Linked DNA regions of Oryzias latipes. The protein of the gene in region 1 binds, or shares a complex with, the protein of each later gene. Links are inferred from orthologs where the notes say so. Each region holds a gene or a part of one and is shown on either strand. Other genes may lie near its edges. The genes, in order: ncaph2, ncapd3 and smc4.

Region 1 (10,385 bases):
TCACCTGTTCCGGACACAGGTGCATGATGGGATACTCGCTGGGGTGTTTCATTTCAGTGTGAAGGTGAATAGGAACCGACACAGGAACCAGATGTCTGCTCCTGTCTGCCTCAGCTCATCAGCAATGGATCTGATGAGAACCAGAACCAGGTCAGAATAGGAACCTAAATGAGCTCAGACTCTAAACCAGCTCAGAACCAGATCCATCTTTGAATCTGAACCAGAGACACACAAAAACAGAGACACAAAAACACGCACGTACACACACAGACTCAGATACTGGTCAGTGTTTTCACCACAAAGGATGAAGAAGAGCTCAGCTCCTCCGCTAGAAGTGTTCCGGATAAACTTATTTTTAGTCACAGCTGACCCCCACCCTCCCCAAAGACATTTATTCCAGCTGTCAGATCAGCAGAGCAAGTCCCGGGAGAGGAAGACTTCCAGAAGCACATCTTCCTCCTCCTCATTCATGTTCATCCAGTCTGGGTAATGGGCACACTTTAGGACACAGAGGAAGAACAGAACATTAAACAGAACTGAAGAATCCAGTTCAACCTGTTTAAACACCATTGAATCTGGTTCAGTTCATTCTGAATTGGTCCAGTTTGTTCACCGTCACCCTGATCAGATAAGCTTCATCATCATCATCTTCATTATCTCCTCTTCTGACCCGCTGCACCGATGTTACAGGCAAACAGGAGGACAGAGGACCCCCATCTGGACCCCCATGTGCACAACACGGCAATGGGGGAACCAGAATCTGGACACTTTATGTACACAAAAGTCACAAACAAAAAGCTGCAACAAAGTCAGCCGAAAAAAAGAGAAAATGAGAAGAAAAACAAACTAAAAAGTATAAAATAGAGAAATGACGACATTCATCCAGAGAAACGATTCAAGTTCCACAGCTCTATAATCAATTATTTTTAAGACATTTCAGAAATTTTTCAAGAAAAAGATTGTTTTTAAAACACAAAAACATTTTGTTTAAAAAAATCATTTATGAATAAAAACATAATTGTTAAAAAATAAACTTAAACGTAGTAGTATGTTTAGGGGATGTCATCTGAACTTGGTTTTAAAGTTAGAAGACGTTTCACTTCTTATCCAAGAGGTTTTGTCAATTCTGAATTAGCTGGTCAAAAAGCTGGTATATATGCGCTCATGGGGGAGGAGTCAGACCTGAAACTGGATGGTATTGTCAACTTAGCCTACATGGTTTAAGGTCGTTAAGAGTCCTTTGTCCTCAGCTGGGGGTTGGGGAGCCAGTGACTCCCTCCCCAAACTGGTCAGCTATTAACGACCCAGGTGGAACTGGTTTGGTTTGTTTGGGTTTCAGAACACTGCCGTAGATGGATGGAAGAATAAACCTGAGACACTAGAGGAGACACGCCCGCTTTAGAAGCCTGGCCGACGGTGGCGAAGCGCGACACAATCTTGGTGAGGTGGACGACGCCCACATGACAATGATTTCTATTGCTTTTAGTGGTGTCTAAGTAGCTTTTATGTACTGTATATATGTTTACATTTATATATATTTATACATATATGTAAATACATTATATTTATACATAATATATAGATATGTCATTTGTTGTTGTTAAAGAAGAGAAACAGTCAGCCTTAAAAGCTCAAACTTGAATGAAAATCCATTGTTGCAGGACTTCTTACTAATAAAAAATTTATTACAAAGAAATTTTAAAAATAATTTCTAAATATTTAGAAGTTTTATACCTCTTTGACATGTAATTTAAATTATTTAGAAAAACCCAACAATAAGTCAATAATAATAATAATAATAATAATAATAATAATAATAATAATAATAATAATAATAATAATAATAATAATTAATAATAATAATAATAATAATAATAATAAATCAATATTAAGTAAATACAAACAATAAATAAATAATAAGTCAATAAATAATGAAAAAAGTATATAATAATAATAATAATAATCATAATAATAAAAATAATAATAATACAATAATAAAATAAATATTCAAAAGAAGTCCAAAAGTAAACAATAGATTTACCCTAAAAAAACAACAAGGAAAAACAATAGATTTACTGATTCATGTTAGTGATCAGTTTGTGTAACACTGATGTTTTGGTGTCAGGTTTCAAGCAAACAGTCTGGCCTCTCATCAAAATCTGTTTCCACAAATGTTTTAAACTTATCCAGACTGTATTACTAGTTGGTACCACAGTGATCCATCTGGGTTAGTTCTTTTGATAGTAAGGCCCACTTTTTCCTGAAGTCTGAATCCATTAGAAACCTGCAAGAAAAGTTCAGTCACTGAGTCAGAAATGTATAAATCTATATTACTATAATAGCCTAGTATGCTGTATACAGGTTTAGCAAAATAAAATGTACATTTATGTCGACAGGAAATTATCCGTACATCATGCAGCATGTTGATAACAGCCCTGCAGCATCATGGATGTCTACATGAGTACGATTAATGTGTGTCTCTTTCGGCTTTTCCCATCAGGGGTCGCCACAGCGAACAAGTCGCATGGTAAACTTGGCAATGTTTTACGCCGGATGCCCTTCCTGACGCAACCTTCTCAAACCGGGCTTGGAACCGGCACAGGGGTAGAGAAGGGAACAGGGAGCAGCCCGGAGTCGAACCCTGGTTTCACGGACGGAAGGCGCCGCAAACCAGCACGAGCTAAACCGGCTCCCGTACATGAGTACGATTAATGAAGCCCCTAAAAAAATCAAAATACTTACCCGTAACATTATATGCCTTCCTCCTTCATGGACTCATTTCTCTGATTTTGGCAGTTGAAACCCAAACAATGAACTGGTATTATGCAAAAAATGTGTTCACATGCACTGCAGTAGTAACTTGACCTCACCAAGATGGCGGTGCTCTCTTCCCATGAGGAACCACGTGATGTCTCCTCTAGTGATAGAACTCATTGGTTCCAACTACCCCTGGCTCCAGCCTGCAGAACTGCACAACATAGTGGAATGCTGAAACGCTGAGGAATGTGAACACGCTGTGGAATGTTAACCCCGCCCACGCTGAGCCCGTCTTCTTTGGTTTCACAAGTTTCCATGTGCAATATTGCCACCTACCAGTTTTTAAGGAGTTTTTCCTTACCGTGAAGGGGGGGTCTAAGGGCAGGAATATCAGTTTAGATTAATCTGTTTTGTTAAGGTTTAGTATTAATCCTAATGCATTCTTTGTGTTCATGATCCCTTTTTCATTGTATGTTTACCTTACAATTACCGGTATGAAGCCCATTGAGACGTCTGTAATTCGAATTGGCGCTAAATAAAAAAACATTTTTTAATTGAATTAGAGAAATTATACAGTGATTGCTGTCTTCTCATGCCTTTTACAAGTTTCCATGTGCATGTATTAGGGAGTTAATAAATTTTGTCTGGCCTCACGGACTCAAAAAAATAACTCATTGGATGAACTCAATTTAATTGTGGGCAGGATTTCCATCCAATAAATATGAGTAACCCCACCTCAAAGAAAATTCTTCCATGTAACGAAATATAATTGAGTTAATCGAACTTAATTTTATCAAGAAAGGCAAAGGAAAAAAACATGCATCAGCAATCAGAAGCCAGCCTCGAACTCAGAACCTCTGGATGTTAAACCCACTAACTAATCCACTGAGCTAACACTTTTGTGATGTTTTCAAGCCGCCTGTAAAAATAAATAGATTTATTATTTACATAAATGAGGCTCGTCGTGTTTCGTCTTATTGGGAGAAGCCGAGTTGAAACGATTTCATGGCACAGTTTCGTTTTTTTACGTGGAAAAAACGAACGAAAGTTTTCACTTTTGAAAAGTCAAAGGATTTGAAGGACCAAAAGTCAAACCAGGCATTAGACGAAGGAGTTGAACATTTTAATAGTTGAATAGTTAAAATAGGTGAAAAATTGTTGCCGTAAGACGGCAAAAAGAATAAATAAAGAGAAACAGGAAAACAGCATTCAACAGCATGCCCCTTACTTGAACTCAATTATTCTGGATTACTGGAGTTGTCGGGGAAATTATTAATACATTTTGTGTTAGGTCAATTAAATGTAGATAAATTCTTTTAAAATAAATATTTTTAAATAAAACAAACACAATTATATTGTGTTACATGAAAGAGGGGCTTGAATCATTTTTTTGAGTGATAAAAAAACATTGCACCATTCAAATTTTCTTCCCCTCTGTCCTCTTTCTTCCTCATTCAATTCACAATGACACAAAATGTGCTCCACTTATTCTTCCCCTTTCCTGCAATCACAACTGCACTGATGAAGGTGAATCAAATGCACGGGCTCAACGTGGGCGGGGTTAACATTCCACAGCGTGTTCACATTCCTCAGCGTTCCAGCATTCCACTACGTTGAGCCATTCTGCAGGCTGCAGACAATTCTGCAGGCTGCAGCCTGGGCTTACTCGGTGGTTCTGCTGGTTCTGACCTGATTGATGTAAACACGTCAACCCGTTTAACAACTGGAATCTGTCAACAGTTCAACTTTATTCACAGCTTCTGCTACAGGTTTATTTCACTGAATATTACAGGAAAAGGTCCGTTTGACTGCGTTTGAGCTGATCCGAAATCATTCCCGGTGCAGTACCGCCCCGCGGCCACAGGGGCAGCAGACACCAAACAAGAGCGACGAATAAGAACTTCCGGCCGCGCGGGTAATTTGAGTGGAAACAGGCGCGAGCGTTAAGTCCGGTCAATTCCTTTGCTTAACCTTCCCTGTGGGCGCGTGCGTCTCCACAGGTGTTTTGGTGACGGACGTCTGACTGCTTTCCCGCTCTGCTGGAGAACTGCCCTCTTTGCAGGTAGACTTTCCACTTTTCATTCCCGGAGTTTAGAAGGTCGACAGTGACGTGAGGACACCGACCGACAGTCAGTGCAGACTAGAGAACAGAGTTGTTAGTGTTCAGGTGTTTTCATGAGACGTTCGGGGTTTTTTATGAGACGTTCGGGTGTTTCTCTGAGACGTTCAGTTGTTTTCGTGAGACGTTCGGGTGTTTCTCTGAGACGTTCAGGCGTTTTCGTGCGACGTTCAGGCGTTTTCGTGCGACGTTCAGGCGTTTCTCTGAGATGTTCAGGCGTTTCTCTGAGATGTTCAGGCGTTTTCGTGAGACGTTCAGGCGTTTTCGTGCGACGTTCAGGCGTTTTCGTGCGACGTTCAGGCGTTTCTCTGAGATGTTCAGGCGTTTTCGTGAGACGTTCAGACACACACTGGAGTCTTTGGTCGCCTCCACTCTTCTGGGTCCAGAATGGAGGTTCTGGGTTGGTGGTTTATCCGTGGCCCAAACGCCCTTCAGTGTTTGTCCCGGTTCCCTCCTGCAGATCCGACCCGTTCTTTGAGTTCTCCAGAGTCTGGAGGGGGCGGAGTCATCATGGAGTCCACAGAGAGCCGCTTTGCTCACCTGCTGCAGCCCATCAGAGAACTGACCAAGAACTGGGATGTGGACGTGGCGTCCCAGCTTAACGACTACCTGGACGAGGTAAGACGGAGACGAGCGCCACCTGTTTGGGGGGGGCTCAGAAGAACCCCAGCTTCTCTGACGTAAACTGAAGCTGACCAAGAACCAGGTAGCCACACCTGCTGGAGCTTTATTCAGAATCACCTGGACTCCCAGCAGCTGAGTTAGATGAACCTGAAACAGATTTAGATGACCTTCATCATGAAAACACTGGTTTCACTGAAGGAGGCGGAGTGCAGCTTGACTCTGATTGGCTGCTGTGATCATGTGATGCCCCCCTCCCCACAGTGGCTCCCCCTCTGTGAAGGTAACACGTTAACTTCCCTGTGTGTCTGCAGCTGGATGAGATGTGCATCACCTTCGACGGAGGAAAAACCCGACTGAACTTCGCTGAAGCTGCTTTGCTTATTCAGGGCTCGGCCTGCATCTACAGCAAGAAGGTGGGCGCAGTCATGTGACGGGTCATGTGACCCAAATGGACCACTGATGGAGCCTCTCTGACCATTGCAGGTGGAGCTGCTGCATCATCTGGTTTTTCAGACGCTGGAGTTCATCAGTGAAAAAAACAAGAAGTCAGTTCTGCTTAAGCAGTTTTGCCGCCATGTTGTCCAGGGCCTCACTGTTCTTCTGCCCGTGTCCACCGATGTCCACCTGACAGGCGGAGCCAGGAGGCGGAGACTGAGAAGAGCGGCGGAAGCAGAATGACGAGCAACAGGGACGATGATGGCCAGGATATGGTAAGAAAAGTCACTTCCTGTTTAATCCCTGTTTTGTTGATTGCCTACTCCTGGCAGCTGCTGCAAAGCATGTTGGGTAACATGAGATGTTTTTGTCTACATCAGTTCAGCCCTCTGGACCTGGATCAGTCACAGAACTGGCATCAGTCTGGTCTGAGTACGGTGAGGAAGCTTCCTATCCATGGGCGAGCTGGGGTTCAACTTCCTGTCTGGCAGGAAGCAGGTTTTTTTTTTCCTCAAATGAACTTTATTAACAAATATTGCACATTCAAAATATCAAACATTGACACTGTACAAAACTCAAAATGTTCACATTTGCCAGGAAAATGAACAAAAAGCCATAATAAAAACAGGCAGAAAACACTAAAACAGAAATAAAGTCTCAACAGTGACCATGTTTCCACTGTTCCAACAGCTATTGACACACAGAATCATTTCTTTAGGAAAATACGTTTTTTTTGTTAGCATATTTACACGTATGAATGGAATATTTGACCATAACTATAAGTAAGTTAACTATCTATGTTTTCTCTGCATTAAATCTCCCTCGTGTAAAATATCCAGAAATATGTTCATAGAATCATTTATAGTTTCACGGGGTTTGTTCTAAAATGAGTCAAATCTTTCCAAAATGTTGGAGTGAAAGAGCAAAACTGATGAGGCACAGTTTCTGGTGAGGAACGATAACATGAGCAGTTTATGTCCAGTTCTTTTTTAAATTCCAGGAAGAATATTCCAGATAGCATGATTAAACTTCCCTGACTTTAAGCCTGAACTCTGGCTGAAATCCACCCGAACTTGCTTACTCTGGGTATGTCGGTTCCAAAAGACCGGATATGAGTTAACGTAATCACGCTCCACTTGGTAACCCTGGGTTAATGCACGTGCACAGCAGGTACATAAAGACATTCTCAATGGATCGCCGCTTTCTGGAGTCACCATGGAAACACGTGGAAAAAAAGAAAGCGCTATACTTCAGTGAGACGGAGTCTGAGATTTTAATGACGCCGTATGAAGATTATACGTCCATCAAAAAAGTAACACGGCTGCATCATCAGCAAAAGAGAGTTTCTGCTTGGAGACAAAGAACAAAGTAAACGCACGAGTTTCTGATCTTATTTCCATTTTCTTTGTGACGCAGAAATATATATATATATATAACTTATCCAATTTTGCCAACTTAAATGAATTACTTCTATTGGTAACAAATAATTGAGTTAAAATTATTCAACGTAATTTCTTACGTCTATAAAACTCAATAATTGTTTATGCAACTCAAATTTACGTATTTATCTAACTAAATGTCATATTACTCCAATTCAATTAATATTTTTTCCATCTTAATTATATTTCTTGAACTCTCAAATGTCTAAGTTTGAGCCGGCAGATATTCTCATTTGTATAACAATAAAAAGGACGAAACAAAATGCACAAAGTGTATAAATTGATTAAATAATCAATAATCCTCTCCCTCCCTCTCACTCATGGTGCAGAGACGTAAGCAAAGTAGGACAAAATAACTCGACAAAACACAGTAAAACAGCTAAACAACTAAACACATTTGGTCACAAAGCCACACTTAAATCCAAATCCGTCCAGACAGGCAAAGGGAATGGTATCCCACAATCCTTTGCGGTGCCGATCTAACAGCACCTACTTAATTGAATTAATTTGAATGAAAGTAAAACAACTGTCTGAAAACTACGTTTTATTTTTAATCTAACTTAACAAAAAAAATGATTTATCTTAACTGAAGCAAATAATGAAGTTAGATCAAAGTATAAAGTTTCTCTTTCCAACATCCATATGTGGTCTTATCACTCTCTCATGGTGGAAAAAGTATTATCTGAGCTTCTTCATCCACTAAATCATCTTCAAATGGACACGCCATGCTGCTTCACCTCTCTGAAAACAAACTAACCTTCAACTAAACCTGCTCCAGACCAGGTTATGTTCAGAGCATGAGTTGCTATGGCAACTTGACCTACCCTGAAACATACCTCCATTTCTGGAACCGAAAGCTGAGGTTATCAACTTCCTTAGCCTCAAACTTACCGTGGGAGCTAGCAGAACCTGCTTCCTGGAATACCCCCCCCGGTGTCTTCAGAAAAGAGGCCGCGGCGTTACCTGTTAGGAGGTACACAGGTGTTACCTGTTAGGAGGTACACAGGTGTTACCTGTTAGGAGGTACACAGGTGTTACCTGTTGCGAGGTACACAGGTGTTACCTGTTGCGAGGTACACAGGTGTTACCTGTTGCGAGGTACACAGGTGTTGCCTGTTGGGAGGTACACAGGTGTTGCCTGTTGGGAGGTACACAGGTGTTGCCTGTTGGGAGGTACACAGGTGTTGCCTGTTGGGAGGTACACAGGTGTTGCCTGTTGGGAGGTACACAGGTGTTGCCTGTTGGGAGGTACACAGGTGTTGCCTGTTGGGAGGTACACAGGTGTTGCCTGTTGGGAGGTACACAGGTGTTGCCTGTTGGGAGGTACACAGGCCGTAAGCGTGTGATTGCTGTCATGTGACCCTCAGACCGTGGTCGTCACTCCTCTTCCTCCCGAGTCTCTGATTCCTCCAGAAAGCCAGGAGAAGCAGAAGCTGCCCCTCATCAGGTGGGTGGAGCGGCAGGGTCTGACCCGCCGGGCCGTGCGCTCTGCTCACAGCCGTCTCTTCGTGTGTCAGTGTGAAGGGGGAGGTGCTGTGCAGCCAGAGGGACTTTCGGATTAACCTGTTCTTCCCGGGGGAGGGGGGCGTGGTCTTACTGAGGCTGCGCTCTGCGCTGGAGCTGGACCTGCATCCCGCCAACTTCTTGCATCAGGATTCCTCTGTTGATGCCTCCATGGGTGCAGACGTGCCCCCTGAGGCAGGAGAAGACTGCCGTCCAGAAGACAGAAGTGACCAGGACCCAGAGCAGCATGTGGACCGGCACCAGGTCTCATCAGAACAGCACAGGTGCTCCACCTGGACGGTCCAGAACCTGAACTTGTTGTGGCTGTGTTGCAGGCTGGGAGCGGCGTCCGAGAGAAACGGCAGATCTTTGCTGAGGAAAGACCCCAGCAGGATGCCCCGCCTCCAGTAGGTCACCTGATTCCACAGACCACTTGTCTGTTCTTCATCCTGCAGATGTGCAGTCCCATCTCCTCTGCCTCGTTTCTGTCAGCCTTCAGGTGAAGGTGTCAGGTGCAGACCGGGCTGTAAGCCGGTCCTCCCGTTTTAGTCAGAGGCGTTTGTAGGACGTCTTTCTTCGTTCTCAGGACTTTCTGAAACGCTTCTCCACAAGTAAACGTCTACCTGAAGGTCTCTCTGTTCCAGGTGAACGTCTGGACGCTCCACGACCCCTACGCTGTCCTCGCCCACGACAAGCCCTTCAGGATGGGTCAGTCAAGGCCGTTCCTCAGCTGGGTGTCACTACACAAAGTTGTGTCCACTCACAGTTGTGTGTCTCCTTAGGGAGGTGCTACAGGGTTCCACACGGTCTGGATGAAGGAGGAAAGAGGAAGAGGAGGTGCCCTTGTCCTCTGCAGGACTTCAGGAGCTGGTTCAGAGGAACCTGTGAGAACTACTGCTCACACTGATGTTTCATGAAAGCCACATCATCATCCTCATGTGTGTGTGTGTGTGTGTGTGCGCGCGGGTGCTCGTGTGCTACAGCTGGTCCTATGGAGAACAAGCTAAAAGGTGGACCCACCTTCACAGGTACACAGCACATCAGGACTCTGGCAAACTGAGAGGCGGGTCTTTTCCTGACTCCACTTCCTGTTTCAGACCTGAACTACATCTACCTGAAGTCACTGAAGGACAAGATCCGGACCAGGAGGAGGCTCAATCGCAGAGTGGTGAGACCTGCCGCACTTTACAAGCCTTCAGTCTGGACCTGAACATGATGATGATTAGGATGACGTCCACCAGGGTCTGGTGATGTCAGAGGATGAGCTGAGGAGAACCTTGCTGCAGCCACAGGAGGTGGGGCTGCAGCAGGAGGGGGATGAGCCTGCAGACGCCTTCAGGGACGCTGACATGTTTGGTAAAAAAGGTTTTGCATCTTTGTGAGACGCCAACGCTTGCAGTACCACGTCTGACCAGCAGTGTGTGCAGGAGAGCACGACCTCTCAGAGGAAGAGTCTCCTGAAGATCCTGCAGACTTTGCTGGAGGAGCTCAGCACATTGCAGGTAAAG
Region 2 (10,285 bases), on another chromosome or scaffold:
TTGAGAACTTTTTTGTTCTAGGACGCAAGTCCACAGCAGAGAACGTAGAGACTGATGTATCTTTTAGAAAGAAGCTTTGGATCCCCATGAGAACTTTTGTATCCGAGTGTAATTTGATTCAACAAATAAAAAGAAAAATCATTTTTGGTGAGGGACAAGTGACCACCAACTTGCAATGACAGGAGTGTGGTTGAATAAGAGGGAAAAGCCTGCTCACCATGAGCTCTTCATCAAGGTCCTGGGCTCCATTTTCATTGAGGATGACAGCGGATAAATAAGCTTCACAAATAGACACGAGCTCGCCACAGTGCTGGTTTAGGAAGGCCTGAAGACAAGAAACCCAAAAAGTCCTCAAATGCAAAACGTTTAACAGTTTGACAAAAAACGAAGTAAACATTTTTGATATGAAAGAAATGTTAAACTCCATGAAACTTAAAAAAACAGATAACAGAATATGAGCTTAGAGTGTTGTGATAATGTGAGGATAACATCAAAGACACAGATGGACACAAACACAACTCAGATGAACATAATGCACAACATCCACACACACACACACACACACGAGTCACAACGCAAGGGGGAGACAGATGCCTACCACAACAGACCCACCAAACTAGTGACACAAACACTTGGTAACAACTCAATCTCTCCATGATCTATCTGTCATCTTACTGTGGTTGGGTGGTTGAGAGCCAAAGTGATTCTTGTCAAGAGAATATGTTCTTGTATGATTATGTTTTTGGGCTTGCAGGCAGGGACCTGGTGGCTGTGCCTCCTCCCACAGAACCAGCTAGGCTCGATGCAGAAAAACCACTTCAGAATGCCACTAGAGATTCGGTGTGAATGTGAGTGATTGTGTGACAGACCAGCAACCTATTCAGTACCCCACCTTTGCCCAACAATAACTGGTATGGGCTCCAGCAACCCCGTGTCCCTTACAGGGCTTCATTGGGTTTGAAAAATGAATGGATGATATTTCCTGTCTAGTTGGACTCTGGACTCTCATTTTTAACTTGGACAACAAGCCAAGTATGATGAGAAAGACCCTCACTTTTGGCTACTCGCACTTCTTGTTCGACAAGTAAACAAAAACGAATACATATTTTTTAAAACAAGGTTTCTTTCCAAACCTGGGTCTCTTTGATGTTCTCCTGACAGCCAAGCTGATAAAGAGTCTGCACGGCTGTGCTGATCAACTCAAGAGACAAAGTGAAACTCTTCAACAAAGACATTAGATCCTCTGAAAGAAGAAAAGTGAGGGAGGGTCATCATTCTCCAGCTTCTTCTAGTGAAGTCTATCGCCTTTCCACAATCATTTACCAACTATCCTGTTCTTGGTATCATCATTTAAATGAACTGCAACGTCTCCCATAACAGATAGAATGTGACAGAAGGTTGTCACGTCGACATCTCTTGATCTGCAAGAATATAAAGTAGATTTTTGGGTAATTAAACAAACACAATTGGATCATCAAAAATGACCAGTACCAAAATGTCTGGAAATGATTCAGGTAAAACTCGTGCTCGCCTGATCGATGCGTCCCACGAGTCCAGGATTTTGCCACATGGGACTTTGGGACATGAAGTGGCGACCTTGGAAAGCAGCAGCCAGGCCCCTGCAGCATGATCGGCCTTAAAGTGTGACATCAGGTTTGTGATGAAAGCCGGCGTGAACTTGTTCTGCTTCGACCAAATGGTGAAGGCTCTGCTAAAATAACGGCTGGAACAAAAGAAATGTTACAATTAGTCTCCATCTCCTTTTCTCTGGCAAATAGACTGATGTGATCGTAAAGACACACTCACATTAAATTGAGGTCTATATAGCTTTGCTTTTGGTCAAACCACAGCCCGTTTGCTGTGGTTGATACAGATCATTGAAGGACCCACTCTGCTGTTAATGGGGATTTTAACATATAGGATTTTTCTCATAGTGGAGGACATATGTAAAGAAAATTAAGCTCACAAATGCATTTCTTCATTCACATTGTTCTGAAATAAGGTGTAGATGAAAAAACGTAGTTGTAGAAAGCTTGTGGTTATGGAAAAGCTGCAACCTGCAAGTCACAGTCCCCCTGCTCTGCTCCATTCTGATCATCCACTGTCAGACACATAGATCCATGAACTTCTTTATTTTCCGGGTCTGAGCTGGAATCTGGATCAGAACTGGACGGCTGGATAGATCTGATGTTGACCACCATTTTTGTTGCACTGCTAAAGATAATTGTGAGGTGTGCGGGGGGCTGTAAGCTAGCAGGAGTGTGAGTGTAAACAGAAGGATCATGGGAAATGAAGGCGGGCTCAGTCAACACCAACAGTCCCGCCCACATCTCAAAGGGAACATTTTTGATAAACTCCTACGCTCTGCAAAAACTATGTTATAGAAAATTACAGGTTTTTTTTAATTCCATATAAAAATGAAACAAAAAACCTAAATAAAATAAAATAAAAACAGACTGGGAACAATCTTAAAATGGATCAAAAGATCAGACTGGGGCTTTAAGATGATTCTTTTAAGGCAGCCAGTAAAGTGCCACAGATTTTCCTTTAACCCATAACCTTCATAAAGAAAAAGAAAAAAAATTAATAAAAAGAAATGGGGGGGGGGGGTCTGACTTTTATGATGAGACGGATAAATACATTTAAAAAAATAAATAGGTCACAAAAACAGCCATTTTGTAAAAGTATTAATAAATGTGAATCTACCATTTCAAATACTTTATTAGCAGCTTTCTGGTAACATTAGACATTAATTATTATAATAATAATTATAATAATAATAATTATTATTATCATTAGACATTAATATTATAGTGTGTGGGAACAACGGCTGTAATAAATCCATATTTGGAGGAAAGACTGTTTTTTCTGTTAAATGCAGTTCTCTTATTTTGAAATTAAAGGCTCTTCTTCTGTTTCCTCTTTGCATCTTTTCTGCCAAAAGAAACTTTTCAAATACGTTTGTCTTTGTTAACTTTGCTAGTGGGTTAATATAGCATGATATAGCACCGGAACAGCCACTTTTAGAACGTAATGGTTGTATTTTTTAACGCATGACAGAGCGGCTTGATGTCCGTCAAGATTGTGTCAGATGTGGTGGAGAGAATCCAGCAGCTTTTTAAAATAAAACTTCAAAATCAGATTTTAAATAAAAAGGGTGTAGAATGTTTTCTTTCCCCTCTGCTGCCCGGTCCCAACTGTTCTATGGACCGATTAGGCCCACGGCTCAGGGTTTGGGGACCAATGTTGTAGAGTACTGCCAAGGGAATTAACATGGTGAGATCGACCAGTGGAGCATCACAGTAGTTGTAACTACAGAAAATGGATTTAGCTTAGTAAAAAGACCGGTTCTGGTCAGTTCTTACCTCAGGTTTCTGCATTCATGTGACAACAAGCCTAGCAGATCCCATGTAAGCCTCTGATCTGTGTCCATGTGATGGCCGCCATTGTACAGTTTGACTTGACTAAGCAGCACTTGTTCCAGAGCGTCCAAGGCCTTCTCCTGCACCGAGCTCTCAGAGTCCACCACAGCCGGCAGCACGCCCTGCAGCCATGCCTTCTGGACCGTGCTGCACTCGGCTTTGGCCTGGTAGTGACAGGACATCCAATGGCAACAGGTTTTTATTCCCATTTCCAGAGATGGGCAGTAACAAGTTACATTTATTTGAGTAACTTTTTGAAGATTTTTAATACTCCAACTAGTTTAACTAGTTCAAATGCATATTTTCTATGGAATTATTTGTGTCTCATAATAAGTCAATACCAGAAATGCTTTTTCATTTTCACAATAAAGCTGCATTTGTTGACTTAAAAAATAAAATTAACAATCCTCCAAAATGCTTTTTCCTTTTGTACTCCAACGCCGCTCATTCTGTGACATCGTTAAAGAGAAAAAGCAAAGAGGGGACTGCATTTCCATTTATACATCCCTCGCGCAAAAACTGTTGCATAACTTAATTCCAGTCAGCCTTTCCAGGGGGGAGGCGGGGCGACCTGTCCAGGGTGTATCCCGCCTTCGCCCAACAGTAACCGGCACAGCCTCCAGCTACCCCGCAGACCAGCGGGTAAAGAAAATGGATGGAAGTTCATGACACAAACCCTCGCATTGAGCGGCCACACTGGATTTATTTTTCTACCCTTTGATCGAGTCACTAAAAACGCCACGTGCCCAAACCTTGTCTTGCCAACCTTGCCGCGTCTGACGCCCAAGTCGCGCCGCAGGACCTCAGATCGCGTCCGTACGTTGACTTAACATTGAAATGTGAATGCAGCATTACATGCATACAAATTTTGGATAGTCTATCTCTCTTTACCCATTTTACAAAGAAAATACTAAACAAAGAGGCCATTGGCAGGAGAATTGGATTTTACACAGTTACCGTTTTAATCTGTTATTGTACAAGTTTGAGGGTTTTTAAAGTGGTTTTCTTTTGGGTATCACTCACACTGAGCAGCTCTCCAACACACTGTAAAGCCTTCTTCCTCACAGACACAGCTGGGTCTCTGGTGCGCTCTGACAGAGTCTCCAGATTCTCCCAGGTTGGGGGAATTACACCATGCTTCAGGAGACCTAGCAGGGCCTAAGACCGTAGTCAGAGGAACACATAAGAAGGTCAGTCCAGAAAGGTTCTATAGGGTGAAATGATCACTTCTGGCTGACCAACCCTGGTCATCAAAAACCCAAACCCAGCTGTTTTCTAGCTCTCCCTGCACCGCTTGCTGATGATGATGATGATGACCAGACTGTGGAATCCCTGCAGTCAGCTCAGCAGCAGCTAGCGGAACAGGGAAAGCTGGAAAACAGTCATGGGTGTGGTCTTTGATGACCAGGGTGGACCTTTAGTTTCCTTTATTTCAAAACAAAAACAGTAAAGCACCTGCAGCGCTGCCTTCCTGACATTTGTCTTTGAGTCCTTTACACGGCGAAGAAGAAGAGCCAGGTTTGCCTTTGCCGCTACAAAACATGGAAAGAGTCTTTTATTACAAGATGGTCGACAGAGAGCCACAGGAGTGTTGACGGAGCCTTTGCACGTGCTAGAATCTCACCTTCAGAGCCTGAGCCGTCAACACAGCTGATCTCCACCGTCCTGAAAGGCAGGCTTTTCATGCTGCTCTGCGTGCACGAAGGTACTGCAACACAATCCCATTTGCAGCAACAGTTACTAGAACAGGAGCAACAGCAGCCTGGGCCTTGACATAAAGCTTCACTGAGGTCTTGACATCGGTGCTGCATTTGTTAAAGACCCACTCCAATGAATGGGTGATGTTAACTGCTCACCATTGATATGGTAATTGCCCCAGGATTCCTGCATGTTAGCCTCTCACCTTACCAACCGAGCTACCCAGCCGCTATGATAAACCCAGAGATTAATGACCGATTAAAAAATAAATGAATTAATGGCGTGTTGTATTTTCAAATAGCAACAAGCCTCTCAACTCATCCGAACTAAAAGGAGCTCCGCCTACATGTCGATATTACATCTGCAGTCTTTTTTTTTTTAAATCATCAGACCTGAACACTAATCATTAAATGAGAGTAGTGCGAGGATCCTACATCTATCTATCTATCTATTATAGCTCCTGCTTGATCCTGTTCAGACATGGGAAAACTTGTATTACTTGCCAACTTTTATGTATCATGTGTGATTTAATAGGCTCAGTTTTATTATCTGTTGGCACTTTGCTTTTAAATGAAAACAAATAAACTAGAGGCTTACTTGATTGGAGTACCAAATGTTTTTAGCGATTTGAGATTCTTCAGAGAGTTTTGACTTTTTTTTTTGGCTGTGAAGTGAATTTCAAACAAGCCTCGATGCAACAAAGAAAAAGCAAAAGGAACCCAAACCTCCTGCGAGTTCACTGTCCAGCACCGTCTGAGTCCCAGCTGAAAATAGAAGATAAAAGTCTGCTTTAGTCAATGGATGAAGACAACAAAACAATGATAATGTTATTTAAGTTTGTCCAAGTACTCTGTACAACAAACCACAAACATATGGAAAACCACATGAAAAAAAGCATTGAAAAGGCGCCCAAGTCTGCCTTACAGGTTGAATAGCATTAGGTATAAGATTTTGTAGTGTTGATGAATACTAAACAAACTCCAAATGTTTAAATATCCTTCAATAAATCATTTTATTTAGGGGTGTTGGAAAAAATAGTTTCGCCAATATATCGTAATAACCGTGTTTTACTGTGAAGCACTATGTGATTTTTATTTTGAAAGGAACTGTACAAATAAAGTTTATTATTATTAAAGTTTATTATAATAGTTTATTTGCCCTCTACAACAGTGGTCCCCAACCCCCGGGCCGCGGACCAGTACCGGTCCGTGAGTCATTTGGTACCGGGCCACACAGAAAGAATAAATAACTTGCATTACTGTTACATCAGTCCATGTCATTTTTGACGCATTCCAAGGCGCTATTCTCGGTCACGTGATAAGTATAAGTTACTGGTAAAATAAAACCCAGCAGCTAGTAAAATTAGTAAAAAAACAAACGTCTCTGGAAAGTTTCTTTGCCGAGGGGAAAAGGCCCAGCCAGGAGACGGAAGAGGAGCCTTCCACTTTTAAAAAAGAAAGCTATATTTAATTGACAGTACTTGTTTTTTGCGCCATGAGAGTGTGGGAAAGGGAGAGGATGATGAGACCTGTGCGATGTCAACTGTTAAGCGTGTCAAAATAAAAGCACAGGGCTCGTCTTGTCACGAAACTCACTGCCACGTTGCTGCCAGTATCGTATAAAGCTATCTGGTGGGGGGTTTTTCCCTGTTCAACATCGGGTTACGTATCGTATCGCCAATACACACCCCTAATTTTATTGTCTTACGTCAGTTTCAGGGAACAGTTCAATAAAATTCATGAAAAAATATTTATTATATTCATACTCAATACTTTGCCTCCATTTATTTGAACATTTTTATCTAGATTTAATTCTACGAGGATGAGTCACTGTTAAATTATTTTTGTATTGAAAGCATCAAATGATGTTATTCTAGTTTATGCCCATGGTTATAAGCTTGTAAGTATGCTCTTACTGCCAGAGAAGAGGTTGTGGACGGCCCTGGTGACATTGAGGGAGGGCAGCTCCAAACACTGAGCCAGGCAAGAAAGGGCGTGGCCTTGGACGGTGGGAGAATCATCCATCCTTCGAGCAAACAGCAGATCCTGGATCAAAAACCTCTGTGGCAGAAAGATGGCAAGCTCCGGATCCTGAGATTCCTCCAGCCGCCTCTCTGTCTGCTCCAGCAAAGCCATGACCACGTCCACGGAGAACAGTCGATGGACCATCTGCCGACAGCAGGGCAACAAGTCAGCACTGAGGTTCTAGCGGCAGCTGGTGATGAGACCAGACTAAGAAAAGTCTCACTCCATCATCTTCTGAAGATCATTCCCAGTGGGCTTTGAATTCTGATTATGCCGTTTTTAGCACAAATAAAAAAAAACCTGTGTTTTCTAGGACAGTTACTGCAGTGCAGCAGTAGTTCACAAGAAATTCACCTCCGAGTTTTGGGTGGGACCAATGGCATGGAGAAACTGTACACCCCTTCCCCTCCCCATTGCTGAGAGCTCTCTGTTTACATCAATTCACCAGGGGATGCATCAGAATAGAGAGGAGCTGGGAGCTGTGACCCACTCAGCGTATTTTGTACGTCACAAATATGATATTTTTCATCTGCTCCCGATTCACAACAACTTGATTAAAGAAACACTCAGAAATAGTTCCTGTCAGTCCTAAAATCTTCTGGAAAGGTTTAAATTCTTTTTAAGTGTCAGCCCCCAAAGATCACCTTAAAAATCAGCTGTTTTCCATCTAGTAAAAATAAAAGGCCCCTTTGCAAAAACATATTATGACTATTGAGTTCCAACTGTCAATGTGAAATAGCAGGACACTACATCATGAAGTCTTTCCTGAACTTCATTTAAAATAATAAAACAGTGCTGTAAATACAGAAATGCTAGAGACCAAAGTTTTCCTGCATGGAGCAGAAATATGTCATAATATTTAGCCATTTGTACACTTACCTTTGGTTGTCTGGAGAAATTAAACAGCCATTTAATGAAGCGGCTGTAATCTGCATTTTCCATCTGAGATGTCAGCATTCCCACAGCCTGGGCTCCGTGGCTTCGGTACTCGCTTTTCTCCACCATCTACATGCCGACACAGCAGAATCCTGTGAAAAGAGCTGTTGCCAGCTCAGCTGATCCAACGTCTTCATGACTGACCTGGAAGCAGATGTGCTGCAGCAGAATCTCCAGGAAAGGTTTCGCCAGCTCCCTCTGCTCCTCCACCAAATGACTGGAATCACATTCAACAGTTCAAACGTCAAAGACATCCTGTAGAAATAATAGAAAGGAAGCGCACACACGCTGCTAACTTTGGTGGCGCTGCAAAAGCACACTTCATAGGTTTGTTGATGCCTCTAAATTGTCTGTTGTCTGTGTGTGATGGACTAATAAATGGCCTAAGATGAAGTCCAGCTGCACCTTTCAGGAGATGTGGAAAGGCTCCAGCATCCCTGTGACCCTGAACGGTGCATATAGAAGATGGATGGAAAATACAAAAGAGCTATGAAAACAGGAGAAACAGATAGAGGGAATGGATGCATAGATACGGGTATAAATAAACAGATGAGCATTAGGCTAGCACACTGACTATATGTGAGAACTGGACTGAAACTAGTGTGACGTCACTCATTGAAAATGGTTTACTTCTGGCTCCAACCAAACCAAGTCAATTCATTTGCCATTTCTTGGATGCCACCTCATTGGAACCAGACAACATCCAAGTCGGACTGAGTCCGTGTTCTATGGTGACCACCCTCTCCAATCAGGAGTGAACTTGTTGGAGGGCCACACCCCTACCACGTGAAAGCGGGAGAATCTGTCAACTTACTTTTATTGAAGTATCTGACTGGTCAGTTTATACTCATTCAGACTTGCAAAACAGAAAACAAAAAATCCAAAAATATGCTTAAAAAAAGTATCAGACCAAGAAAGTTAGAATAACCGGAGTAAAAGCAGTTTATTTCTCTATAGAAGTCTATGGGATTTTGGTTTCTTGAAGCCAGCAGGTACTTCCTGTTTGGAATGCTAGGGGGAGGGGGGGGGGGGTCACTCAGTCCAGTTCTCTTATACAGTCAATGGCCTAGAAAGAAAGCGTGAGAGAAGGAAAATAAAACATTGCCAAGGAGGAAGGGAAAAATGCATTCTAGGAGATAAAAATAATGAAGTCAAACTGTGTCTAATAGTTTAGGGTTTCAATTGAGCTGTTGAGTTGATTGTGGTAAAGATCTGGTGTAAAAAATGTTTCACATCTGAAAGAATTTCCTTAAGAAAACTGACGTTTTTTCATTGAGACGCTGCCCTCTAGTGGTCATAGGAATATATTTCAGAATGAAGGTTCAGATTTACAGGACTGTTGCTTGAATGTAAAAAAACAAGAGTATAACTAATGGACATCAGATGACATCACTTTAAATAGATTTATTTTACTCTAACATTTAAGAAACACTTGGTAAATAAAACAATTCCAATACTACTGCAACTATTCCAGGAACCCCATGTCCTACCCACCAGTCACACGCGCACACACCAACCATACTAAAAGCAAAGACAAAGCAAAAATTCAAACCTCTCACCTTACAAACTGAATGGCATAATCCCTGATTGCCAAAACACTCCGACTGAGAACACGGAGGACCGGTTTCCCTCGACTCTCTTTATTCATCATCAGTATGGCATAGAGCAGCTGATGGAAGACGCTGCGCAAAGACTACACAAAGAACATTGTGTTATCATGATCAATCCATGCCCTAAATATGCCACAACTTCCATTTTAACATGAAGTCAGGATACCACAAATTATTTAAATTGCATTCACCAAATTTTGTAAGAATAAAAGGAGAACAAAGGTTAGCATTTTTGGTAGGAAACACAAAAACCCTCATTGCAAACATAAGATTACACATCTGCAGCTCCTCTGATGTTTACTGCATTAAACTGAAACCTTTCTTTCTGTTATGTATCATTTATGATGTACAATTTTGCAACACAAAACCTCGTTTTTTCATTCATTCTCATCAACATCAGACATTACGCCATTTATGATTAACAAATCTTTTTTGCAATGACGTGTCCTCACTAGTGACGTGGTTAATCACCCCTCTTTCCCAAAAAGGTTTTTTGATTTGATTGATTCATTTAAGACCGTTTTCTATGCGAGGCTGAATGCCTGTCTGTGTTAAGTTAGGAAGGAGAGTTTCTGGAAAACATCTGCTTCTGAAA
Region 3 (10,385 bases), on another chromosome or scaffold:
AGACGAGCTGACTTTTAGGCAGTTCTTCAGCATTTTAGTTGTTTTTACATGATCTAAGAGCTGTATTTCGAGTTTAATTCTGCAAAGTGCATAAAATTAAGTGGATAATAGGCTGTAAAACTAAGACAAAACAATTAGCCTTACCTTGGTTGGCTAAAGTTGAGCGCAGCATCCCAACTTTTGACCAGATCTTGATTAGCCCATCTTCTCCAGCTAAGAACCATAGAAAGCAGCATTACTTTAAAAAATATTAATGTGTATTGAATATGTTTCTTTGTCTAAAATTGACCAAATATTTATTATACTGCAGCTGTGTATGCGTTAGCGACATCCAAACCTGTAACAAGAGCAGTTCCATCGTAGTTCCATCTTCCTGCTAAGACTGCACCTTTGTGAGCGTCAACACTCTTCTCAATGCGCCCCATCTTGGAAACCAGGTGGAACTTTCCTTAAAAACAACCAAAAAAAAGAGTTGACTTTATTGTGACACTATTCTTCAGTCCACGTTTGCCCTGATGCAGACGAGTACGATCTAATGACTCTGTCCAAAACTGATTAATGCAGTGTTGCACCAATACATCTTTAAATGGGAGAACAAAATGAATTAAGTCAACATATTAAACAGATGAGCAACATACATTTGTCAAAACAATGTTTTAAAAGCACACATTTGAAAAAGAAAAAAGGAAAAACTGCAGATCCAAAATAGTTACTTGCAATTAATAGATGAATAAAGAAAATCTTTACTTTAAAAATACTTCAAATGAATTAAATTGAAAATTCCAGATATGTAACCAGGGCTGCAGGACTGTAGCATGAAAACGTTTCTTATAGATATTTGAGAAAATGCTAAAGATCAATAACAGACTGATCCTTTTGCTAAATGTGTCAGGGCTCACAGTAGTTCAAAAAATGATTGTCATGCATTTCCCTTCTCATATTTCATGTAGTATTTATGGCAACAGCTATTTGTCTAGCTTGTGTAAACTATACTAAAGAAAGCAAGAGAAAGAAAGTTGCAAAAGGGAATCGCAACGAGTCTCTGGCATGCCAAAGTAAATTGCTGCATCCGTTTTGCAATTCAACACTGCCATTAGAGTTGTGACCACATATTGCCTACCACAGCAGTCCAATCATGCTCTTATGTGTTCATATCTACCGTAACATGCATGACACACCTTGGCACTGTCTGGATTGTTGCCTTTAGTGACAAACCAAGTCATCCAAAGGCAAATGAAACAGTATGGTATCCTCAAACTAAGGAATACAGAAATTAACCATTGTGTATTTACCCAAAAAGTATGAAAATTACTATCATTTGCTCAAAGTAGGCAACATCAAAACATCTATGTTGCATCATGAATGACACTACACTAATTTTTGCACTAGTTGCGCTGGAAACAATTTATTAAGTAATGAGTGCAACTGCGGATTCTCACATCTTTATAAAAGTTGAAATGTTGAAATAAATGACTTCTATGGGGTTCCTGAGGAAAACTGTTGGTAAGAAGACAACTGACTGCTACTAATTATATAGTTGGTAACATTTTTAGGGACATAATCTAACAAAGCCCTACGACAACCTGTCCAGGATGTCCCCTGTCTTGGCCCACGAGTGGCCAGGATAGGCTCCAGCAGCCACATGACCCAGAAAGGGACAAAGCAGATTTAGAAGATGAATGAGTGAGTGAATGAATGAATGAATGAATGAATGAATGAATGAATGAATGAATGAATGAATGAATGAATGAATGAATGATCTAACAAAAAGAGCATCTAGGAGAGGCAGGGCTCACGAACCAGTAGAACTGGGATTAAAAACAATCTGAATTTCAGAATATCCTTGCAATAAAGTTATTAAGTATTTGAATATCTCATCATCCAGCAAACACAAAATCATTTCTGTAAAAAAGATAAAAATAAGATAATGATTGCTAGATGCCCGGGATCTTTGGGTTCATTGGTCGAATTACAGAACAGGTATGATTCATGAAGGAACAAATGTAAAAACCGATATATAGGAACATATGCTGTCAAAAAATGAAAAGGGAAAACTGTTCACAGCAGTTTGGGTTTCAAAAGCAACATTTTTTCGTGTAGACAAATTATTATTTACACCTGACGAATTCAAATTCAACATCCATAATGATGGAAGCAGCAGAGATTTCTGCAAAAAAAAAAAGTTCACGTCTCTAAAAAAATTATATTTCAGGCAGAGCAACTTTTTCTTCTACCCACAAAACTTCTTTAGCATAAAAAGTCTTGCATCTTTCAGGAACATAATTCTAATCAACATGCAGTTTCGTCATAAAAGCATGGGCACTGAAAAAAAACATTTTTTGGTTTTGGCCAATCATCATTGAAACGCATCTGGCACATTGCGAAACGGCAAATGGAATTTTTATGCAGTGAAGTCCAAGTTTAATATCAGATAAAAATGCATTTTATTTTCATGGATTGAAGTTTAAAAAAAAGAGTCACAGCATGGCTGGTTACTTAAAACTTTTTACTATCCTGCAGTATTTTGTAAAATAAATAAATATATTTAAAAACGGCTGATTGAGTCTTTCACAACTTGATATGGACATACTGTTCATTTGCTTTTTAAGATGCAGAGTGGGTTTTATAAAATACTTGCCATCAGTGCTGGTGAGGACAAAGATTTCAGCTTGGGTTTGTCTCTTCCCACCAACAGTTTTGGGGAACCAGTGCATGTCCAGGGGGTAGATGTCCTCTGACAGCTTGACGACCACATTGGTTTCATTGTTCACCAGGTTCCACTTGAGGATCTGATGATCATCACTGCATGAGTACAGCTCATCGGCTGTGGTCCAACCTAAACAACTTACAAGATCCTTATGTGAGCTGGTGTTAAGAAAAATAATAAAAAAAAGGACAAATATTACAAATTCAGCTGATTGCATGTTTTCTACATAGATACCTAGAATCTGGAGAACCTGCCCCCAACCCCTTTATTTATTTTATTTTTTGTTTGTTTTGTTTTGTCTTCATTTTTTTCAGTAGAAAATGCAAATGACAAGGTTTATCATTGCTGCAGTGGTTCTTATCAGCAGAAATTTATTTTAGTTTGCAGAAATGTAGGACAGAAAATAATTTAAAAACAATCTTAAATTGAAGAACAGCAATAATACTATTAAAACGGGAACGTGAAATGTCACAGTTTTCAAAATATTTTGCCATTCAGCTCAAATCAAAGGCAATAAGTTATAAAACAAGAGGGATCACGATGCAATTAAAGGATATGTTTTGGTTCCTTCTGCAGCGTAGTTTTTAGTCTCATTGTTCTTGTCTCTCTGTTGAATCCTAAACAAACAAAACACACGTATGTCAGTTTTGAATCAACTCTTAAGTCAAGCTTAACATTAGAGGAAAATCCAACAAAGAGAGAAAATGCACCAACACCAAACAAGCGTCTAGTTGCTATGTTACCAGGCAGCCACTGTAGCTAACTAACTAAAATCATTACCTTTTAAAATCGCACGGGGGGCATTCTGATGACCGCACTTCTTTTATGTGCCTCTTATCAATGTGTGAAAGTCATTTGATATAGTTCGAATATTCGATACAAATGAACCAGGTCAAGCAGCGTTGATGAAGAAGCGTTTTGTTTTCATGACGTATGGAAGCTAACTTTTTAGCCATGAAATCTCGGATGAGTGAACGGTTGACAGCCAAGTCATCGCGAGAGTTGTAACAATTTGCAACCTCAGCGTGTACTTATAGAGGGTTTACTTTTTGAGTGACTAATACAAATTCATTCAGAAAATGATCTTTAAAGTAGGCTTGCGTTATTACTGAATAATGTGTTGATGATCTCGGTCACTTCCAAAAAATAATATAAACGTTTCCATGGGGCGGGACTTTATTTTACAGTAACCGAATGATTCGACAGTACTGAAAACACAACTCTTTTCTTAAAAGATATCCTTACTCAAAAAATGAAAATCGTAAGTGATGTCTTTTTATGAAATTGTCATTTATCGCTTTGTTACTGTTGCGCCTTTCTTATCACTGGTGGAGCGAGGCGGAGTTGGCTTCGTCCCCTTTTTTGAATTTTGTGTTTTTTTCACACTACCATTTGAAAGGTCCATGATGCTTTGCGAGAGTTTATAACGAATTTGGTTCGACGGCGCAGTTTAGGCGCCATTTACAAGACAAGTTTTTCGAGAAAGGAAGCGGCTCCGGGTGATACGGCACACGATTTTGTGGACTATTTTAGTGTATTTTTTGCTAGACCTTGGATTAACCTATTCTTCTTGAAAGGTTTGGACTGGATCGAAACAGAAAATCAGCGAAGGACTTTTTTTTCATTTGTGGAAGGTACATGAAGAAAAAATAGAAAAAAAATATTTACTGGGTTCCGTCTATTTGCTGAAATTCATAGCGGTCGTTGAAATTGAGACAAACCTTTAAGTAAGCCACAAATCCAACTATGTTTTAAAATAAAGTAAAAGGAAAAAATATAGCATTGGCAGGACATTGATAGTGTTACTACTACTTATTGACTTTTTTTTAGCGTTTTTTAATAATTGCAACAATAATGGATTCTTAACTTAAGCCCCTATAGCATTACTGTTTATATGTTTATTACAACCTATACCAGTTAAAGGTGGTAATATGTCGGTCTGCTCTGTGATGCTAAGTTTGACATAATGATTAGTTAGCACCCCCCCTCCCCCCTGCTAACCTAACTATTAGCCGAGGGAAAAAAAATCGTAGTAACTTTTAATGCGACATAGTCATCCGGTAACAAAACGATTACGAAAACATTCTTAAATCATGCTGCATGTACTGTAGGTTTGGTTAGTTATTCGAATACATTAACAAATCGCGTTAGATGGCCAACTTCAAATTATCATTCCGCCCTGAACATTAGAATTCAGGGACTGAAAGCTAGTTTGCAAGTTCGACTGTTATCTGTTGAGCTGCGCTTTCAGTAGTGGTCATCATAGAAAACTAGCAATTCAAGGCTCGACACGAATTTCTCTCCCTCTTTTTCTTTCTTTCTTTTTTTTTTTTTCAAATGGGTGACGTAAACTTTATTTTCCTTTTCGTTGTTACCCACCGTTAAACGTTAACGGTTAAGGCCAAAAAGCATTTTTCCAAAGTTTTGTAGTTGGCTAGTTTGTAACATTTTTTTACGGGGATTTGTTTTAAAAGCTAACCTTTTTTTGATCCTAGTAGTGTTAAGATGAATAAAAATCGCTGTAACACACTTTTCCATGTTTTTGTTTTTAGCAACTATTTAAACTTTTGGAAGGAAAAAACAAATAATAAACACAATGGTATATTATTAGGAAGGGCGGCAGTAAGATTTGACTGGTAATGGCAAACTCCTGACACATTAGTTGTGTGTGACTGACCGTAAAGTGGAGTTGAGAGATTGACAGACACAAAAACCACTCATGTGTCCCCCCCCCCCCCCCCATTTATTTTTTTATTTTTTTACCAATGACCCCTTTAGATTTCAAATCATGCCATCCAAAACCGCAAAGAGCTCAACCGCCTCTACCAAGCCAAGAGGAAAAGGGTCGCAGGATGTGTCTGAGGGTGATCTGGATGTACCCCCTCAAGAAACTAACTCCAATGGCCAAGAGGAGGCACCACCGACAACTGGCAAGTAACAAAGGCTGTTTTGGTGTCTGTGAATCTAAATAAGTTGTTCAGTCAATGGCTCTGCGTGTATTGCAGTATTGCTAGAGGCCAACTGGCACAGCTGTAAAGCTCCTTCCCCTCCTCTATCTTAAATTGAAAAGAGTAGCTGGGATGGCTGAGACGTTTTCTAAAGTGCAACATAGAAATGAAATCACTCCAGGATGATTTTCATATCGTCGAATGCATTTCTTCGCCCGATCTTGACGGCAAACGAGGTAATTTGCTTCGAAATGGTGTGTTTTTGTTGTGACGTAAAAACGGGATTTGTATTCATCATGCCTGCAACTTTTTTTTTTTTTTTTTGAACAGCGCGTGTGCTGCTCTCAAGATGCAATTGTTGAAGTTCATTGGTACATGAATCTGTTTAATAATTTTTTTTCCGCTAAATGTCTAGCTGCTATACTTTATTTTTGAAACACCGTCAATTCTTTTGTATATATGAGAACACAAAAGATTTTGAACCGATTCTTGAAGATCGTTGTAGATCTTCATGCAGAAAAGTTTTTCCTGTCTGTATTTCATTTAGCTGGGTGTAGTAACGACGTCGCTGATATAAACGCACTTCATTTATCCTGGAGGTGTCCGTGGCGCATCAAACCGGAGAGAGACTGCGTTTGTGAGCACTGATGTGTGCTCGTTCATGTCCGATCCGAGGCTTGACTCTTGCTTTCTGAACAAAGGGGGAAAAAAACGACGCCTGTCAACTTTCCCCGGAGTCGCTTGTCTGTCTGTGCGACTTGCCGACTGTGTTTTTGTTTGTTTGTTTTTGTTCTCCCCCCACCCCTCCCCCATGGGCCACTGTCCCGTCCCTATTACCCCCCCCCCCCCCCCACTCCCCACCTGAAGCGATTCGCACAGAAAAACTGAAAAGTGCCCTTTTCTGTGCCACAGATTCGGCAGAAGGGGAGGCTGCCGAGGCGGTCGATAATCGAAGTTTGGAGGAGATTCTCGGTAGCATCCCTCCACCCCCGCCCCCAGCAATGACCAATGAGCCGGGCGCTCCCCGCCTGATGATAACACATTTAGTGAACCGCAACTTTAAGTCGTACGCAGGCGAGCAGATTCTGGGGCCTTTTCACAAGGTACGACCAAAACTTGATTCTAATCTACCATGTGTCCTGAATATATTTAACTATGTACTTAGATTACATTTAGTGCAGTGACGTGCGGTGAGGTTAATGGCTGGTGAGGCACTGACGTCATCAGTCAGATTTACAAACATATGAACCATACTGATTAATTTATTCTCCATTTGATTGACAACAGTTAAGGTGTTTTGTTTAAAATATCATTTCAACATGTTTTTTTTCATATACAAAACGCAGCATAGAAAAAAGCACAAACATTATTATCGTCTTACCTTTACTTGTAACTAAAGTCCATACGCCGCTCTTTCGGAAGAAAATGACTTGCCGCTTGCTATCACTTATTCTATTATTTTTTTAGCGTCATAATCTCAAGGCTCACCGGCGCCCCCTAACGTGAGGCACGGGAACTTCTGGCCTCACCCAGCGGCTTTTTCGCCGGCGTTTAGCGCTCAGCACAAGAAACACGTCCCTCACATACAGTTATTTATAAAAACAAACACTGTACATCATATACATCTGCTAAATTATGCAAACTCAGCTCATACAGTACAAGTGATTGAACCGACATACAGAGAGACAGCAGTACCGTCTGACTGCATAGGTATTGCGCAATCCAAGGTGAGGCTCAGCGGGCTGGTGCCTCATCGCACGTCACTTCTTAGTATCTGAACGGCAAATGCGGAAATTCAGCGATTTTGAAAAGAAAAAACACCCAAAATTGGTACATTTAAATGGAAAATGACTGCAAAGCACAAATTACTGATTAAATATAATAGTTGAATTTATTTTTTCTCTTTTCTTCCCATGACAGGTGAGGCACAGCCTCACCTGCCTCTCCTGACTGCACGTCACTGATTTAGTGTAACTGTTACTATCCAAGTCTTATTCATTTGATACTATTTTTTTTCTTGTCTGAAATCTTAGGTCACCTTTCTAATAAATGTGTCTTATTGAAATCTATAAAAAAATAAGATTATTAGTAAAAATGTTTAGAGAGAAAAATCCTTAAAAAAAGAGGAAGAAGTCACACTCCTCCATTTTGATTTAGTGTTTCTCTCAGTTTCTGAAAATCTACTGGTGTAATCACATTTAATGAAACTTTTTAAATGTTTTTTTCTTTAAAAAAAATCTTTTTCAGTCGCCTCATGTCCATGCAAGTTTCATATTGCTAAATTTAAGTGTTTAAATCTATATTAGACTTGTGTGTGGTGTCATCGCTGTTACTGACAGCTGTTGTTGAATCTTAATCTCTTGTATGTTTCATATGGATGATGCATTCATTTTTATTTATTTATTTTTGTCTCCTAATTTCTTCCCAGCGCTTTTCCTGCATCATTGGTCCAAATGGAAGCGGCAAGTCTAATGTGATAGACTCCATGCTCTTTGTGTTTGGATACAGAGCTCAAAAGATAAGATCAAAAAAGCTTTCAGTGTTGATTCACAGCTCTGATAAACACAAAGATGTGCAAAGCTGTACTGTGGAGGTGCATTTTCAAAAGATCATTGATAAGGTATACAGATATTTATAAACACTTTTTTTTTTTACACACAAATACAAACTTCACTAAAATGATCAGTTTGTTGTTCAAACAAACAAAAAAAAAATCACCAGAAATATTTTAGTTGGGCAAAAATGAATTTTTAAAATGTATTTGTTCTTTGTCGTTTCTAATGCAGTAATATTGCTGCTCAATTCTTCTTCTAGTGACCAAGTGTAAACTTAAATCAGTTGTGAAAGTTACTGGAACTCCCACACGTGCCACATTTGAGTCATTTTGCCCTAAAATTGATCTGATGGCAATGAAGGGAAAGAGATAAACAAATGCATTTATTGCCTCTGCTTTTTTTCATGGTGGCAAAAAAAAAAAAAAAGCAGTAGTGTTTGCTTTAGGTAGGATGTAATAACAGGCTGCTGTAACCACCAACTGTGAGCTACATTTTCCCCCCAATTAGAAAATTTTTTATAAATTAAATTAGCCATAGGGACTGTGAATTTGATCACACTGCTGAAGCTAAAATGTTGTGTATTTTTTAATAAACATTGATTTGTCTTAAAATTGGCACAAACTGAGAAATCTGTCAGTTTTGTATTTACAATCATTCCTTAAAACTACAGGGTTTTTTCTTTCAGCGATGTGCACACGGCCTTAAATAAATAGCCTTTTTTCTTCTTTCAACTAAACATTTTTACCCAATCCGTTTATCTTTTGTAGTTACAAGTTTAGGAAGCTTACGATGCAATACACTCCAATACACATTTAGTGTTTTATCTTATCCTTTGCCTTTATAGATGTAGTGCATTCTCATAAACAATATTTTATGTGTGTGTTTTTCTATGTAGGCCTTGTTAATAAGTGAATCTGTCAGTGTTGGAACAGTTTGACGTGTTGGGCTGTTTCAGCCTCTCCTGAACTGTTCTGTTCTAAGCTGCTGTGTCTTCTGCCCCTCCCCCCCCCCCGAGCCAGGAAGGAGATGACTACGAAGTCATCCCCAACAGCAAATTCTACGTTTCCAGGACTGCCAACAAAGACGGTTCCTCAGCCTACCATATCAATGGCAAGAAAGCCACATTTAAAGAAGTGGGGGCATTACTACGAAGTCACGGTATTGACCTCGACCACAACAGGTTTCTGATTTTACAGGTAATTATTTAGTGTTTTTCTTGTATTCTTTCCTTTTTTCCTCTTATCCTGCAAGTCCAAAAAACTTTATTTTTTTTTGAATAATCATGCCATTCTGTCATTTATCTTTTTTTATTATTATTTTTTTATTTTTTTTAGTGCAATTCTCAGGTTCTTTTTTGCTTAAATGTTTCTCATGTACCTGTAGGCCATGTCTGGAAATGTCATGGAATATGCTGTGGTGTCATAGAAAAGAACTGGGGAGGGGTTGCCCTCTGCAAGACCTTAGAATGCTGTAGCAGCGCATCATGGTTTGAAACAGTCAGAAAAAAGTGCGAACCATTATTTGCTGCTTTAGAATTTTAAGGAAAAAATGCAAAAAATTGAAATTCTCCCACATAAACCTGAATGTCAGTTGCTAAACTATTTGCTAGCTTAACAGAGTTTTTTTATATTTTTAATATTTTTTTTATTTTAATTTTTTTATTTTTGTGGATCCACTAATGGCGATGAGGTGGACCCTTCCTTTTTCAATATACCTGCTACGCTGTAGCAGCACGTAAATATTGGCGTGTGAAAAAAGCCCCCAACCCCAATATTAGCAGTGCTGCTTCAGTGTGACGGGATCAAACATCCTCTGTTGCCAGGACTTTAACTATCTGTCTTGGTTCACGTTTTGTTCTATTACTGTAATTCATGGTATACTATGGTCCTACATTATTCTTGGTTAAAAAGATTTACGGTAACCAAGTTTAAATCGTCTCACCTGTCATAATTTTCTTCTTAATATTTTAATTTTCTTTTTCATTTAATTGTATTTTTTACCTACCATAAAATAAAAAATAAAATATTGAAAAACTTTTCCAAGAAAAAAATGTAATCTCACTTTATAATCAATTATTTCACATCTTTTTTTTTTTTTTTTAATAAAAAGTGTTGTGTTTTTTCTTTTTTCCTCTAAATCTGCCCGTCTATATTCCTTCTCCTTACACAACCCTGT

What was found.
Region 2: the proteins of ncaph2 (region 1) and ncapd3 are in contact, whole or in part, in a cryo-EM structure (PDB 9F5W), measured with the Homo sapiens proteins. The link is inferred for Oryzias latipes from reciprocal best matches to the Homo sapiens genes NCAPH2 and NCAPD3. Residues at the interface, in NP_689512.2 of Homo sapiens: Trp22, Ser68, Lys69, Glu72, Tyr75, Tyr79, Leu82, Asp83, Ser86, Ile144, Ile145, Pro146, Leu147, Leu148, Met150, Ala151, Leu152, Val153, Asp156, Glu159, Asn161, Asn162, Asn163, Pro164, Leu165, Tyr166, Ser167, Arg168, Gly170, Leu173; in NP_056076.1 of Homo sapiens: Arg589, Pro591, Met629, Glu680, Arg683, Tyr684, His690, Lys724, Glu793, Asp800, Gln803, Arg804, Arg807, Gln817, Leu820, Gln865, Leu866, Cys867, Pro868, Ala869, Arg870, Val871, Val918, Ile925, Lys929, Leu932, Gln933, His934, Ala956, Asn960.
Region 3: the proteins of ncaph2 (region 1) and smc4 are in contact, whole or in part, in a cryo-EM structure (PDB 9F5W), measured with the Homo sapiens proteins. The link is inferred for Oryzias latipes from reciprocal best matches to the Homo sapiens genes NCAPH2 and SMC4. Residues at the interface, in NP_689512.2 of Homo sapiens: Arg494, Ile495, Trp498, Glu499, Thr501, Val502, Leu505, Leu506, Gln509, Glu510, His512, Phe547, Cys550, Arg551, Met553, Leu554, Leu557, Gln558, Ala560, Asn561, Tyr563, Val565, Glu566, Ile567, Gln569, Leu573, Glu574, Ala576, Val577, Asp578; in NP_001002800.1 of Homo sapiens: Ile100, Leu101, Gly102, Pro103, Ile112, Gly113, Pro114, Ser117, Gln1151, Met1152, Leu1155, Phe1227, Lys1228, Ser1231, Ile1232, Phe1235, Tyr1236, Glu1239, Gln1240, Asn1253, Asn1254, Phe1256, Glu1257, Arg1261, Gly1264, Ile1265, Tyr1266, Lys1267, Thr1268, Tyr1269.

Annotation. Positions count from the first base shown.
Region 1 is NC_019881.2:24,033,208-24,043,592, reverse strand, and holds the start of ncaph2 (condensin-2 complex subunit H2), read left to right. Parts: upstream 1-4,568; 5' UTR 4,569-4,819; intron 4,820-5,336; 5' UTR 5,337-5,386; coding exon 5,387-5,494; intron 5,495-5,811; coding exon 5,812-5,913; intron 5,914-5,983; coding exon 5,984-6,045; intron 6,046-6,131; coding exon 6,132-6,210; intron 6,211-6,315; coding exon 6,316-6,372; intron 6,373-8,741; coding exon 8,742-8,821; intron 8,822-8,891; coding exon 8,892-9,141; intron 9,142-9,212; coding exon 9,213-9,284; intron 9,285-9,521; coding exon 9,522-9,585; intron 9,586-9,659; coding exon 9,660-9,761; intron 9,762-9,860; coding exon 9,861-9,905; intron 9,906-9,974; coding exon 9,975-10,045; intron 10,046-10,118; coding exon 10,119-10,233; intron 10,234-10,304; coding exon 10,305-10,379; intron 10,380-10,385. UniProt on the Homo sapiens protein: Regulatory subunit of the condensin-2 complex, a complex that seems to provide chromosomes with an additional level of organization and rigidity and in establishing mitotic chromosome architecture.
Region 2 is NC_019873.2:3,921,268-3,931,552, reverse strand, and holds part of ncapd3 (condensin-2 complex subunit D3), read right to left. Parts: intron 9,774-10,285; coding exon 9,640-9,773; intron 8,298-9,639; coding exon 8,225-8,297; intron 8,150-8,224; coding exon 8,024-8,149; intron 7,289-8,023; coding exon 7,036-7,288; intron 5,885-7,035; coding exon 5,846-5,884; intron 5,131-5,845; coding exon 5,047-5,130; intron 4,955-5,046; coding exon 4,878-4,954; intron 4,581-4,877; coding exon 4,446-4,580; intron 3,587-4,445; coding exon 3,366-3,586; intron 1,724-3,365; coding exon 1,532-1,723; intron 1,422-1,531; coding exon 1,324-1,421; intron 1,244-1,323; coding exon 1,134-1,243; intron 326-1,133; coding exon 218-325; intron 1-217.
Region 3 is NC_019871.2:13,487,218-13,497,602, forward strand, and holds the start of smc4 (structural maintenance of chromosomes protein 4), read left to right. Parts: upstream 1-4,162; 5' UTR 4,163-4,206; intron 4,207-4,284; 5' UTR 4,285-4,341; intron 4,342-5,485; 5' UTR 5,486-5,495; coding exon 5,496-5,637; intron 5,638-5,658; exon of another isoform or gene 5,659-5,821; coding exon of another isoform or gene 5,822-5,891; intron 5,892-6,567; coding exon 6,568-6,758; intron 6,759-8,083; coding exon 8,084-8,275; intron 8,276-9,229; coding exon 9,230-9,406; intron 9,407-9,913; exon of another isoform or gene 9,914-10,016; intron 10,017-10,385. Other genes in the region: ift80 (intraflagellar transport protein 80 homolog), read right to left, coding at 145-213, 338-448, 2,639-2,860, 3,265-3,301. UniProt on the Homo sapiens protein: Central component of the condensin complex, a complex required for conversion of interphase chromatin into mitotic-like condense chromosomes.